3 linked regions of the Nothobranchius furzeri genome follow. The main gene of each other region encodes a partner of the protein of the gene in region 2 in a complex. Links are inferred from orthologs where the notes say so. Each region holds a gene or a part of one and is shown on either strand. Other genes may lie near its edges.

Region 1 (2,842 bases), on a different chromosome or scaffold from region 2:
TCCTCGCTCAGCTTTTTCAGCTTGCTGAAAAATTCAGCAAAAATATTGTGTATTTAACACAATGTCTCTTTAATAATGGAAGAAAGACACAATATTTCTTTATATATGCACATCAAAGTTTATTTTATAGAGTAAACATTACTTTCTGTAGGAGAACTTGAGTGTGTGTTTATAACTTAAGAGGAATGATGAAAATAATTGATGAAATCTAGATAAAAATACTGTTTAAAAAAATTTTGAGATATTTTTGGTCTTTGATCATAATCTGGATTTAATGCAACCTAGTATCAATGTACACAAATTAAACAGATAATAAACAATTTAATCCTACTGTCTTATAAAATTTAAATACATTTTAAATTTAATTAACTTAAAAGGTGCTAGCTTAAGCTAACCAGTAAATAGATCGGTCCAAAATAAAGTAAACAGTTACTTCGAATAAATTATGATTTTCCTTAATACACATTTAATTTATTATATATTTTTGAAGCGACAATGAAATCACCCCCAACGACGCGAAATCCAAAAACGTCTAAACAATTAAACAAACCATAATCTCAATGGAGGTTTTAACCGGTTTTGTGTTTTTACTTTCTGCTTGTTTATCTCTGTGGAAAGTTTGAGAGAACTGAATTCGCTTAGCATTAGCATCCTGAGCTACCGCCTACATTAGCCTGGTGGTAAAGCAGAGGTCTCAAAGCAAACGTTCACAAACCTTTTAGGCGCGGACGGCTCCATGGTACACCAACTCGGAAACAAAAGTCAAACAAAGTATGAAAAAGAGAGCGCGGGTTTGTCAGTGGTAGTCAAGACGTGGACATTGTCGGCAGATTCGTTGTTGTCACAAACTAGTGGAGGAGGGCCAGCTGGGGGGAGCTCTTCAAATGATGGACATTCTTGTGTTCGACGCTGCGACAGCGCCCCCTGTCGGGACGGAAGCGCACTTTACATTGTTTTATTTTACAAAAACACAATTACGAATCAGATTGACAATGTTTGGCTCGAGTCAAAAACAAAAACTCTAAATAAAGTCTAATTTATTCATAAGGTCCCAAAAGAATACTAAATTAAGCCAGAATTTGTAGCGTAACGGTAATTGAAAAATGAAACACCCGTGTTGTGGATTTGCTTTCAAGAGGATGTTGTGTCAAGACAGGAACATTTTTAGTATAAAATATACAAAAAAAAATTCTTTGCTTCCAATTTTTAAAATCAGTTCAGATGTGTTTCGAATAATTCACAATGCCTCAAAACCGCTGGGTGACAGTAAAGGCACGTAAAGCGTGTCGATCGTCCTGTAAAACCAAGAAGAAGAAATTTGACGCAAGCGCAGAAACCCAATCGTAAAAGCGGATGGTTTAGTGTGTGAAAACAGTAAACATTTCCCAAATTACGCAGTTAAACGGTGAGTCATTTCGCTTCCTTTCATCAGTAATTAACTAAATGCATGTACACGGTTTAATTTGTGCTCTGTGCGTATACAGTTTCACCAAATTCAGAGACGTTTATGCAGTTTTGAGCTAATGTCCGGAGCACCATGCTGTTTCTGTTAGCATGCTAACAAGAAGAAGGGTTGTTGATGAAATGTTTACATTTCTGTCTTTTATAGAACAAAATGGACACACAGAAAGATCTACAGCCGCCCAAGCAGCAACCAATGATCTACATTTGTGGAGGTTTGCTGATGAAGCAACTATCATTGCAATTCTTGATGGTTTTATTCACGAAATATAGAAAAGTCATCAGAAAAATACTAGTTATGACTAATTAAAACATATTTCTTATTAGTAAATATTCCATTTTAGCCTGACAGCATGTAAACGTCGATTGTTAATGTGTTTGCACAATTATACTGTTCTAAATTAATTTTGCAGCAGTTCTGAAATACATTTATATGTCTTTATAAATGTATATATTTTTTTTTTATGCAGAGTGTCACACTGAAAACGAAATAAAGGCCCGCGACCCGATCAGATGCAGAGAATGTGGCTACAGAATCATGTACAAGAAGAGAACAAAGAGATGTATCCTTTCTCTCTCTCTCTCGTGTGTGTGTGTGTGTGTGTGTGTGTGTGTGTGTGTGTGTGTGTGTGTGTGCTTATTTTCCTTGACTCATTGATTCCAGTGGTTGTTTTTGATGCACGATGAAGAGGAGTGGAGCTGCAGATTGATCTTTAGTTGTTGTTTTCTGTTTTTATTGAGTCTGACCTTGTAAATAAACATAAACTGGGGCTTCAGCTTTCATGTTGGTGTAGATTCTCGCTCATTCGGGTCGTGGCATTCCTAAATTGCACTTCTTGCTGAAACATCTTAGAGCAGCAAGATAAATTCAGCCTTTTTGGTTTTTGGCATCCGCGGTTTGTGTCAGGTGTTCCTTATGTTATTTTAGTAAATAATAATGATGCATAAAAGTTTTATTTTAGAAAAATCAGTTTGATTTGACTGTTTTCTTTTAAAATCCTTTGTGGCCAGCAACATTAACAGGATGAAAACTCTTCAGTTAGTTTAACACATCTGCTAAATAGATATGATCCACAGTCATTCCTGAAATAAAAATCAACCTTTAGGATTTAAATTCAAAGTTTTAACCACATTTCTCTAAGAAGGAAAATTCTCATCTGCTGGCCAACAATTCACAGATTCACCAATGTTTTTTGGTTTGTTTATCTGAGAGCACGTTGTCGTGTTTATTTTAAAATTTTCATAATCTTGTTAAATTATGGGGTCTCATTTCTAAGTGAGACTTGTTTTAATCAAACATGCAAGAGAAGAAATTAGTAACAAGAATATTTAGTTACGAAGAAGATTGTAAAAAAAGTGTCTAAATAAAATGTGGAAAGAA
Region 2 (3,654 bases):
GACGGCCTGGTACCCCATACTCCCGGAGTACCCCCCACAGGGCCCCCCAAGGGACGCGGTCAAACGCCTTCTCCAAATCCACAAAACACATGTAGACTGGTTGGGCAAATTCCCACGCACCCTCCAGGATCCCCCTAAGGGTATAGAGCTGGTCCAGTGTTCCACAGCCAGGACGAAAACCACATTGCTCCTCCTGAATCTGAGGTTCAACAATCCGACGGACCCTCCTCTCCAGAACCCCTGAATAGTCCTTACCAGGAAGGCTCAGGAGTGTGATCCTCCTGTAGTTGGAACACACCCTGCGGTCCCCCTTTTTAAATAAGAGGACCACCACCCCGGTCTGCCAGTCCAGTGGGACTGCCCTCGATGTCCACGCGATATTGCAGCGCCGTGTCAGCCAACACAGCCCCACAACATCCAGAGCCTTAAGAAACTCTGGGCGGATCTCATCCACCCCCGGGGCCTTACCACAGAGGAGCTTTTTAACCACCTCAGTGACCTCAGCACCAGAGATTTGAGAGGCCAACCCAAAGTCCCCAGACTCTGCTTCCTCACTGGAAGACGTGTCAATGGGATTGAGGAGGTCTTCGAAGTATTCTGCCTACCGATCCACAACGTCCTGGGTAGAGGTCAGCAGCACACCGTCCCCACTATAGATAGTGTTGGTAGTGCACTGCTTTCCCTCCCTGTTGGTAGTGCACTGCTTTCCCTCCCTGAGGTGCCGGATGGTGGACCAGAATCTCCTCGAAGCCATACGGAAATCTTGCTCCATGGTCTCACCAAACTCCTCCCATGCCTGGGTTTTTGCCTTGGCGACCACCCGAGCCGTGTTCTGCTTGGACTGCCGGTACCCGTCAGCTGCTTCTGGAGTCCCACAGGCCAAAAAGACCTGATAGGACTCTTTCTTCAGCTTGACAGCATCCCTAACCGCCGGTGTCCACCAGCGGGTTCGGGGGTTGCCACCACGACAGGCACCGACGATCCTGCGACCACAGCTCCGGTCGGCCGCCTCAACAATGGAGGCACGGAACAGGGTCCATTCAGACTCAATGTCCCCCGCCTCCCCCGGAACATTTTGGAAGTTCTGTCGGAGGTGAGAATTGAAGCTCCTTCTGACAGGAGACTCTGCCAGACGTTCCCAGCAGACCCTCACGATACGTTTGGGCCTGCCTAGCATGATGGCAGGAAACATCGTGCATTTATTTACAAACGTTTTATGAGACAAAAACTTTAAATAATTTCACAAACTGTTAGAAAATGTATCCGTCTTGAAATTTTAAAGGAAATTACGGTTATTTGAAAGATTATTGATAATGAAGTTACAGATAATCAGATGCTGCAATCAGCTTTTAAAAGTTAGTTTTATTTTAAGATGAATAAAAAAATAAAAATAAAAAGCTGAGACAAAGATTTACGATGTTTTGAAACAGACGTTTCGCTCATATGAAAAAATTAAAGAATTTTCTAAGATGACTTTTGCATTTGGCCCTCTGCTCACGTGCATTTACTCACCTGGACAAAGGATTTTAAGTAGCGATGACTTCACTTTCCAAAGCTGGGGGTTTTCCTTTGAGTCTTTAGCAGCGTGGAAGCTTGTGAAATGCAGAACAGGCCACCAATCTTGTCTTGAAGCCATCTGTTCCTGGACAATTCTCTCCCAGTCGTCTCTGGTTTAAAATCCAAGCAAAAACTCAGATAATCAATCAAATCAAAGATACTTTATTAATCCCAGAGGGAAATTAATCAGGCTTTAGCTCCTATTTATGACAGGAAAACTAATGAGAATGTAAAAAGTTTCATAAATCTGTGCGTACCGTAACCTCAGGTCCTGAACGACGGCCTGCAAGCACCTCCACACGTCCAGGTTGCTCCTCCAGCAGGCAAAGTCCAGCATCTCAAGGAGGACTCCTAAAGCTTTTTGAGAGTCACCTATTTTCTCTTAAAACAAAAACAAAACATAAAATTAATTATGGTCAAACATTTGTTATATGGATACAAAATCATGAGTTAAAAAGCTGAAAAGATACACTCATTTAATGTGTTTTTATTATTTTATTCATTTAAGTGTGTTCTTAGGCGAACTTTACCCGACTGAAGCAGGAAGTAGCTGTACTCCAGCATCAACTCGTGGCTCGGGACTAAAACATGGAGATTCTACAACAGGAAACAGGTTATTTTGGAAGTTTTGCAAGCAGATGTGTCCTTAAATATCAGTGCTAATACTTAGGAATATATGAGATATAATCATCTGTAAAATATAAGTTTCATGGGCTGTTTTACCTTTAACACTTTGATCAGCTTCTTCTCAGGAGTGTTGTGCCTCTTCAGGAACTGATACAGAAACACGTGTGCGTTTGGATTGGGTGGAAAACGTTTGTTTAACGCGTAGTTGTTCAAGACGTTAAGAGCCTCCACGTGATCCCCGTAAAACTCCAACATCTGCCAAAATACAGTGAGACAAGAGGCAGGGACGGTCGAACGATGGGATTAACGGTCAGCATAACAGAAAAGATGTGTCTGAAAAAACAAAGTACCATTACAACAACTTAAAGACTGCAGAAGTTGGTAAGTGCTTCGATATGGTCCTGGTAGTGTGGCAAGCTGGAGAAACGAGGGCCCGGGCGGGATTCGATCCCCAGACTCCCAGGTGAGAGTCATACGCTCTAACCAGTCAGCCAAAGGGACATCCCCTTGGCCAAGTAGCCAGTGCGCATCATCAAGCGGGACATTGTGACAGGACACTCACACTGCCAAAGTTGGATGATTTTCAAAATAAGAGACTCCCACGTGTGGCATTAAAAAAAATAAATAAATCACATTTACCAGTTTTAGTGTTTGGCGCTTGGCTACACGGCAAAATCTACACTACAGATGAGAAAATCGTCAAATATTTCAAGATTAGCTCAGACCAATCGAGATCACAATTTCAGACTGGCTACACGTCACATCCAACCGGCAGAATGTCTGACCAAGACATTCCATCACGTTTAATATCCCGATTTGTGATCGGGAGCAGTCCTGCAGTCCTTCCGAGCAGACCAGAGAGCTATTAACACACCACACACGGCAGGAATATCTGATAAAACTATCTTTAAATCTGTTACAATAATCAGGCAGATCCTTGAGATGGTCAGGAGGAGAATTGGGAAAGAAACTGGCGTGAAATGGTGTTCTGTCCAATCACCATACGTTGTCAAGATTAGCATACGCGTGTTACAGCATACGCCTGACAGCACATGTCTGTCAGATCATACATTTAAGCTATATGACAATGTGATAGGCCACTTTGTCCATCAGATAATCATACTTGTTTAAAACGACCGTACGATCCCTTGACTTGTCCATTTGATAAATTTTAAAGCTTTATTTTCTAAATGTTTAGAATTAGAAGGTAGTAAAATAAAAGTGTGATACACAATCATCAGTTCATTTTTGTGGTAAAAAATTATGAACACAGTCGATAAACATTTTCCTTGTACTTTGTCGTTTGTATGCTTGACTCACAGCTCCTCGAACATAACATGACATAGTTGGACGCTGCTCCGTTAGAACACTGGGCCAAAAGCTCCTTATTAGCATCTCCAACACTTAAGGAGGTGCAACAAGATCAAACTCAAACTCATGCGATCTGTTAGGGCTCTGATGTGAATGACT
Region 3 (4,274 bases), about 7.9 Mb from region 2:
AGACGGGATCGGCCGGCGCCGGAGCATCCACATCCGCTTGAGAATAAAAGGACCTTAAAGTTCGGATCGACTCCCAGCCGGAGCAGAGCGTCAGCCTGGTTCTTCAGGATGAACTGGAACCCCTCACAGACCAGCCAGGTGTAGCCGCGCTCTGAGGAACATCAACCTGTCAGAAACTAAACTGAAGTTCCCCTGCAGCTAGAAAACATCTGGGGACGGCTTTAGAGACCAGAAAGGTCTGTGTTTGTAAAATAAAGTTGTGTGTGTGTGGTGTATGTGTGTGTGTGGTGTATGTGTGTGTGTGGTTATTCCAGCTGAAACCACCTCAGAGGACACACCCACCTTCTTTACTGGTTCTGGGTCCTTTGGCGATAGATTTTAATCTGTTGGAGCTTCCAGCGACGCTCAGGTCCACCACCTCTATGGTCCTCTGAGCACAGGAACATGTATAAAAACCATCAGGGGAGGCCTCAGATAAAACAGCGCCTCCTGCTGACAGCCACAGGCACTACAGCTGCCAAAAACCCGTTTTAACCACGTTCCATGGCAATGACGCTGACAGGCTCAATTGTACGTAAAAGCGTTGGACTTGGGAGGCAGAGGAAACAGGAAATCAGTCAGAAAGTCTAGAGCATTTATCATTCAAGCTGATGAGGACCTTAAGATCAGTAGAGCCTGCTGTCCAGTAATCAGAGGGAGTGCAAAATGACAACCTCACCTCTCAGACAACCCCAGGGCAGCATGGCTACGTTTGAGTTTTCCATCACCAGCAGAGAGCCCAAAAGCTCTTTATAAATCTAATCTATTATTATTATCAGCAGTAAACAGCTGCAGCAAGGTACCAACTGTCTCTTTAAAATGTGAACTCAGGAGTTTCCTTCACTGTGCTTATTATTATTATAATTATTATTATTATCTAGCAGTCTAACACTAAATGCTCCAGCCTCTCAGAAGTGCAAGCTAGCATGGCTAAAGCTAACGGAAAGCTTAAACCCACATTAATAACGTCCATGCAGACACATGTTCAGAAACCACAATATGAGAATTTAGAAGCTTCTAACTTTCAGAGTTTTAAGACATCTGAGGAAGTGTTACCATGGTAACATACTCATTGATTCTCATGTAAGTTCTCTTGTTCGCTCTTCCTTCTTCCATCTCAGGAACATTGCTAAGCTGAGTCCCATTCTGTCCTGCTCTGAACTTGAGACAGTTATCCACACCTTCATCTCCTCACGTTTAGACTACTGTAACTCTTTTTTCACGTGTCTGAGCAGAACCTCCCTGAACCGTCTGCAGGTGGTTCAGAATGCCTGTGCGCCGCTTCTGACCAAGTCCTCCAAACACACCTACATCACTTGTAAGTTGTTGTTGTTGTTTACCTCTATGACGTTGTGGCAGGACATGCAGTAGAAACGACCTTCTTCTGAGATGCCCCAGTTCACCGCTGCACACTGAGCGCAGGGCTCCCTGTAGCCAGCCTGGACAGGAACACAGGTACGGGTGAAGAGAGCAACTCAAACTCACCTGAGCTTTTGACAAAAACCTAAAAATTATTACTAATATTATTAATATTCTCACAACTCACACAAGTAGATTCACAACAAACTTTGAATAAAAAAGCAAATAAAAAGTAATAAATTAAATCTAAAATCTGATGCATAATAAGAAAAATGTTTGTAAGAAACTTGAAAAATGAGAACCTTCAGTGAGTTAGACAAAAATTAGCTTTTGAAGAAAAATTAGATAAATTAAATGAAACAGAAAGAAAGAGTAAAATGTTAAATCTTACTTTCTTGACCACAGCAGGATGTTGGTGCATCAAAACGGGTTTAAATACTCAATAAATAATAAACACAAATAAAAGCTTAACTATTAGCAGCTTCTGCTCCACCTGGTTCAGAAAGCCTGTGCTCGGCTTCTGACCAAGTCCTCCAAACACACCCACATCACCCCGCTTCTCCTCCAGCTTCACTGGCTGCCAGTCAATTTCAGGGTTCATTTCAAGATCCTGGTTCTGGTCTATAGGGCCTTACATGGACAAGCACCATCTTACATTGGTGATCTTCTTAGTCCCTACACCCCCAGCAGGTCCCTGAGGTTCAGTGACCAAAGCCTACTGGTTGTGCAGCACCAGGCTAAAGGTGACAGATTATTTGCTGCTGTGGCCCCCAGACTTTGGACCTCTCTCCCCCGAGCCTGAGGTCAGTGGACTACGTGGTCTCCTTTAAACTCACCTGTGCAGGCTTTAGTGGGACCTTCATCACCTCCCTCTCCGTGTTCTGCTCTTATTCCGCCTTTCATGTGATCCACTGGTTTCCCACTTTTTCTCATTTTAAACATATTTTAAATCCTTTTTATACTTTTTTTAAGCTCCACGTGATTTTTATCTTGACAGGCGCTACATAAAAGATCGTTTTCTTTCTTTTTTCTTCACAGCTCTAATTAGGTGGAATGCTAGCCAAAACTACTAACCTCTACATGAACGATTGAATAACTACGTTGATCGTGTTGGTAACGTTACTAAATCTATGCCGATTACTAAACCGACCGCTGTAGATTCCGACCAAGTTGTTAAATGATTTCTTTCGGACTTCGTATTTAATAATAATGAAAGAAGGCGTGTTGTTAATAGGGTTGTGTGTGCCTCAACCAGCTAGCTAACATCAACATTCCCCCTTAATTAAATGTACGCGACATATTTACAAATAAAAAATGCTTAAATGTGTTTACCGTAGCGTCTTCATCCATCGTGATTTAAAACTAAAGTCTGGTCATTATGTGTTTAATTTATTCATTAGGTTTTCCTTTTAGCTCTCAAGCTAAAATGAGAGAAGCGTATTTGTAGCTGGAACCGCTTCATCTTCATCGGTTGATTTTAGCGACTGCAAGGTTTCTATACTGCCACCAACAGGTTGCAATGTGAACTACAACCGCCAACTATGGTTATAACTCGCTTTTGCTGTCTGTGTAATTCAACATTCATCAATTACGTGTCAAGTACATCCGGAAGAAAATGTTTTACAACGTTCCAATTAAAACTATTGAAAGCTCATTTAGATTTTTCACAAAGTTATTCAAAAGGTATTTTATGTAGAGTTCTGCTGTATTTTATTGTATTTTTGTCATATCTGATGTTCGGTTCGGCCGTCATGTTTGCTGGTGGTGTTTTACAGACTTTGGCCTCTCGTTTAAAAGCGGATTTGGATTTGGATGAGATCAGAGATTATAAAAAGACTCGCCAGATGTTTCCGTCTTTCTCTTATGTTACGTCACGAATCGAGTCGCTTTTCAGAAGAAACTTTATTTTTGTGTCTTTCTGTTGTGGTTCTGGAAGTTAGGAGCTTATGTTTCTTGTACAATCGCTAAAATTCACGACCCAACTGCTGGGTTCATCTTTCACGAGCTCAGAGAGCACACACGCGTTCTACTCACGAGCCCGTCGAGCGCGCGACAACACGCACAACAAGCTGAGGCGCACTTTCAAAATAAAAGCAAACACTAAAACAAAACAAAGAATTTAAGAAATTATTCATTTGCTGTGTACCAAGAAAATATCAAATAAACTGTTACAAGATAGTTGCTTACATATTATGTATTTATGTTTAATGTAGCTATTATTTTGAGTTAAATATATATTTTATATAATTTCACATGTTTCACCAAAGCTCAGGCTTCTAATTGTGAAAAACAAGTAGGTAACTCAAATTGGCAATAATAAACTATTTTCACAGTTAGACTTTCTTTTAAATTAATGTATTTGGTCCAATGGCTTTCATTTGGACTAATTTGATTTTATCCTGGTGCACGTGTCAGTTATTTCATTCAGATTCAAATCCAAATTATGTTTATGTATTTAGCAGACGCTTTTGTCCAAAGCGACTTACAAGTGATAATTGGCATGTTGCCCTTGATGCTAACAACAACAATAACAACAACAAACAATTTCCAGTCAGTTGTAGGTAGCAGCGAGGCAGCATGATGAATCATGGAGAGGAGGGAACAATAATAATAATAATAATAATAATAATAATAATAATAATAAAAAACTTTATTAATCCCTCGGGTGAATTCCTTCGGGAAATTCAGTTTCCAAAAAAAGCAGCGCAACACCGACAGAGGTTACAGAACGTCAGAAAATATTATATAATAATAAAAATAGAAATAAATATAAAAATACAATTGAATTGCACCTTCCGGATATCAACGTCCTTAGCACCGTTGACCATTAAACCAATTTAACTGTTTAACAAAGGTACTTGCATTGAGGTATTGCA

Evidence for each region.
Region 1: taf1a (region 2) and polr2k share a complex: the UniProt entries of both Homo sapiens proteins name them as parts of the pol I pre-initiation complex. The link is inferred for Nothobranchius furzeri from reciprocal best matches to the Homo sapiens genes TAF1A and POLR2K.
Region 3: taf1a (region 2) and taf1b share a complex: the UniProt entries of both Homo sapiens proteins name them as parts of the transcription factor SL1/TIF-IB complex. The link is inferred for Nothobranchius furzeri from reciprocal best matches to the Homo sapiens genes TAF1A and TAF1B.

Annotation. Positions count from the first base shown.
Region 1 is NC_091759.1:1,440,966-1,443,807, forward strand, and holds polr2k (DNA-directed RNA polymerases I, II, and III subunit RPABC4), read left to right. Parts: upstream 1-1,273; 5' UTR 1,274-1,405; intron 1,406-1,609; 5' UTR 1,610-1,615; coding exon 1,616-1,676; intron 1,677-1,931; coding exon 1,932-2,024; intron 2,025-2,125; coding exon 2,126-2,148; 3' UTR 2,149-2,244; downstream 2,245-2,842. Other genes in the region: stk3 (serine/threonine-protein kinase 3), read right to left, coding at 1-24, 716-738. UniProt on the Homo sapiens protein: DNA-dependent RNA polymerase catalyzes the transcription of DNA into RNA using the four ribonucleoside triphosphates as substrates.
Region 2 is NC_091742.1:8,327,664-8,331,317, forward strand, and holds part of taf1a (TATA box-binding protein-associated factor RNA polymerase I subunit A), read right to left. Parts: intron 2,440-3,654; coding exon 2,281-2,439; intron 2,155-2,280; coding exon 2,088-2,154; intron 1,939-2,087; coding exon 1,815-1,938; intron 1,668-1,814; coding exon 1,513-1,667; intron 1-1,512. UniProt on the Homo sapiens protein: Component of the transcription factor SL1/TIF-IB complex, which is involved in the assembly of the PIC (pre-initiation complex) during RNA polymerase I-dependent transcription.
Region 3 is NC_091742.1:16,192,665-16,196,938, reverse strand, and holds the start of taf1b (TATA box-binding protein-associated factor RNA polymerase I subunit B), read right to left. Parts: upstream 2,881-4,274; 5' UTR 2,749-2,880; coding exon 2,731-2,748; intron 1,479-2,730; coding exon 1,380-1,478; intron 431-1,379; coding exon 343-430; intron 152-342; coding exon 54-151; intron 1-53. UniProt on the Homo sapiens protein: Component of RNA polymerase I core factor complex that acts as a GTF2B/TFIIB-like factor and plays a key role in multiple steps during transcription initiation such as pre-initiation complex (PIC) assembly and postpolymerase recruitment events in polymerase I (Pol I) transcription.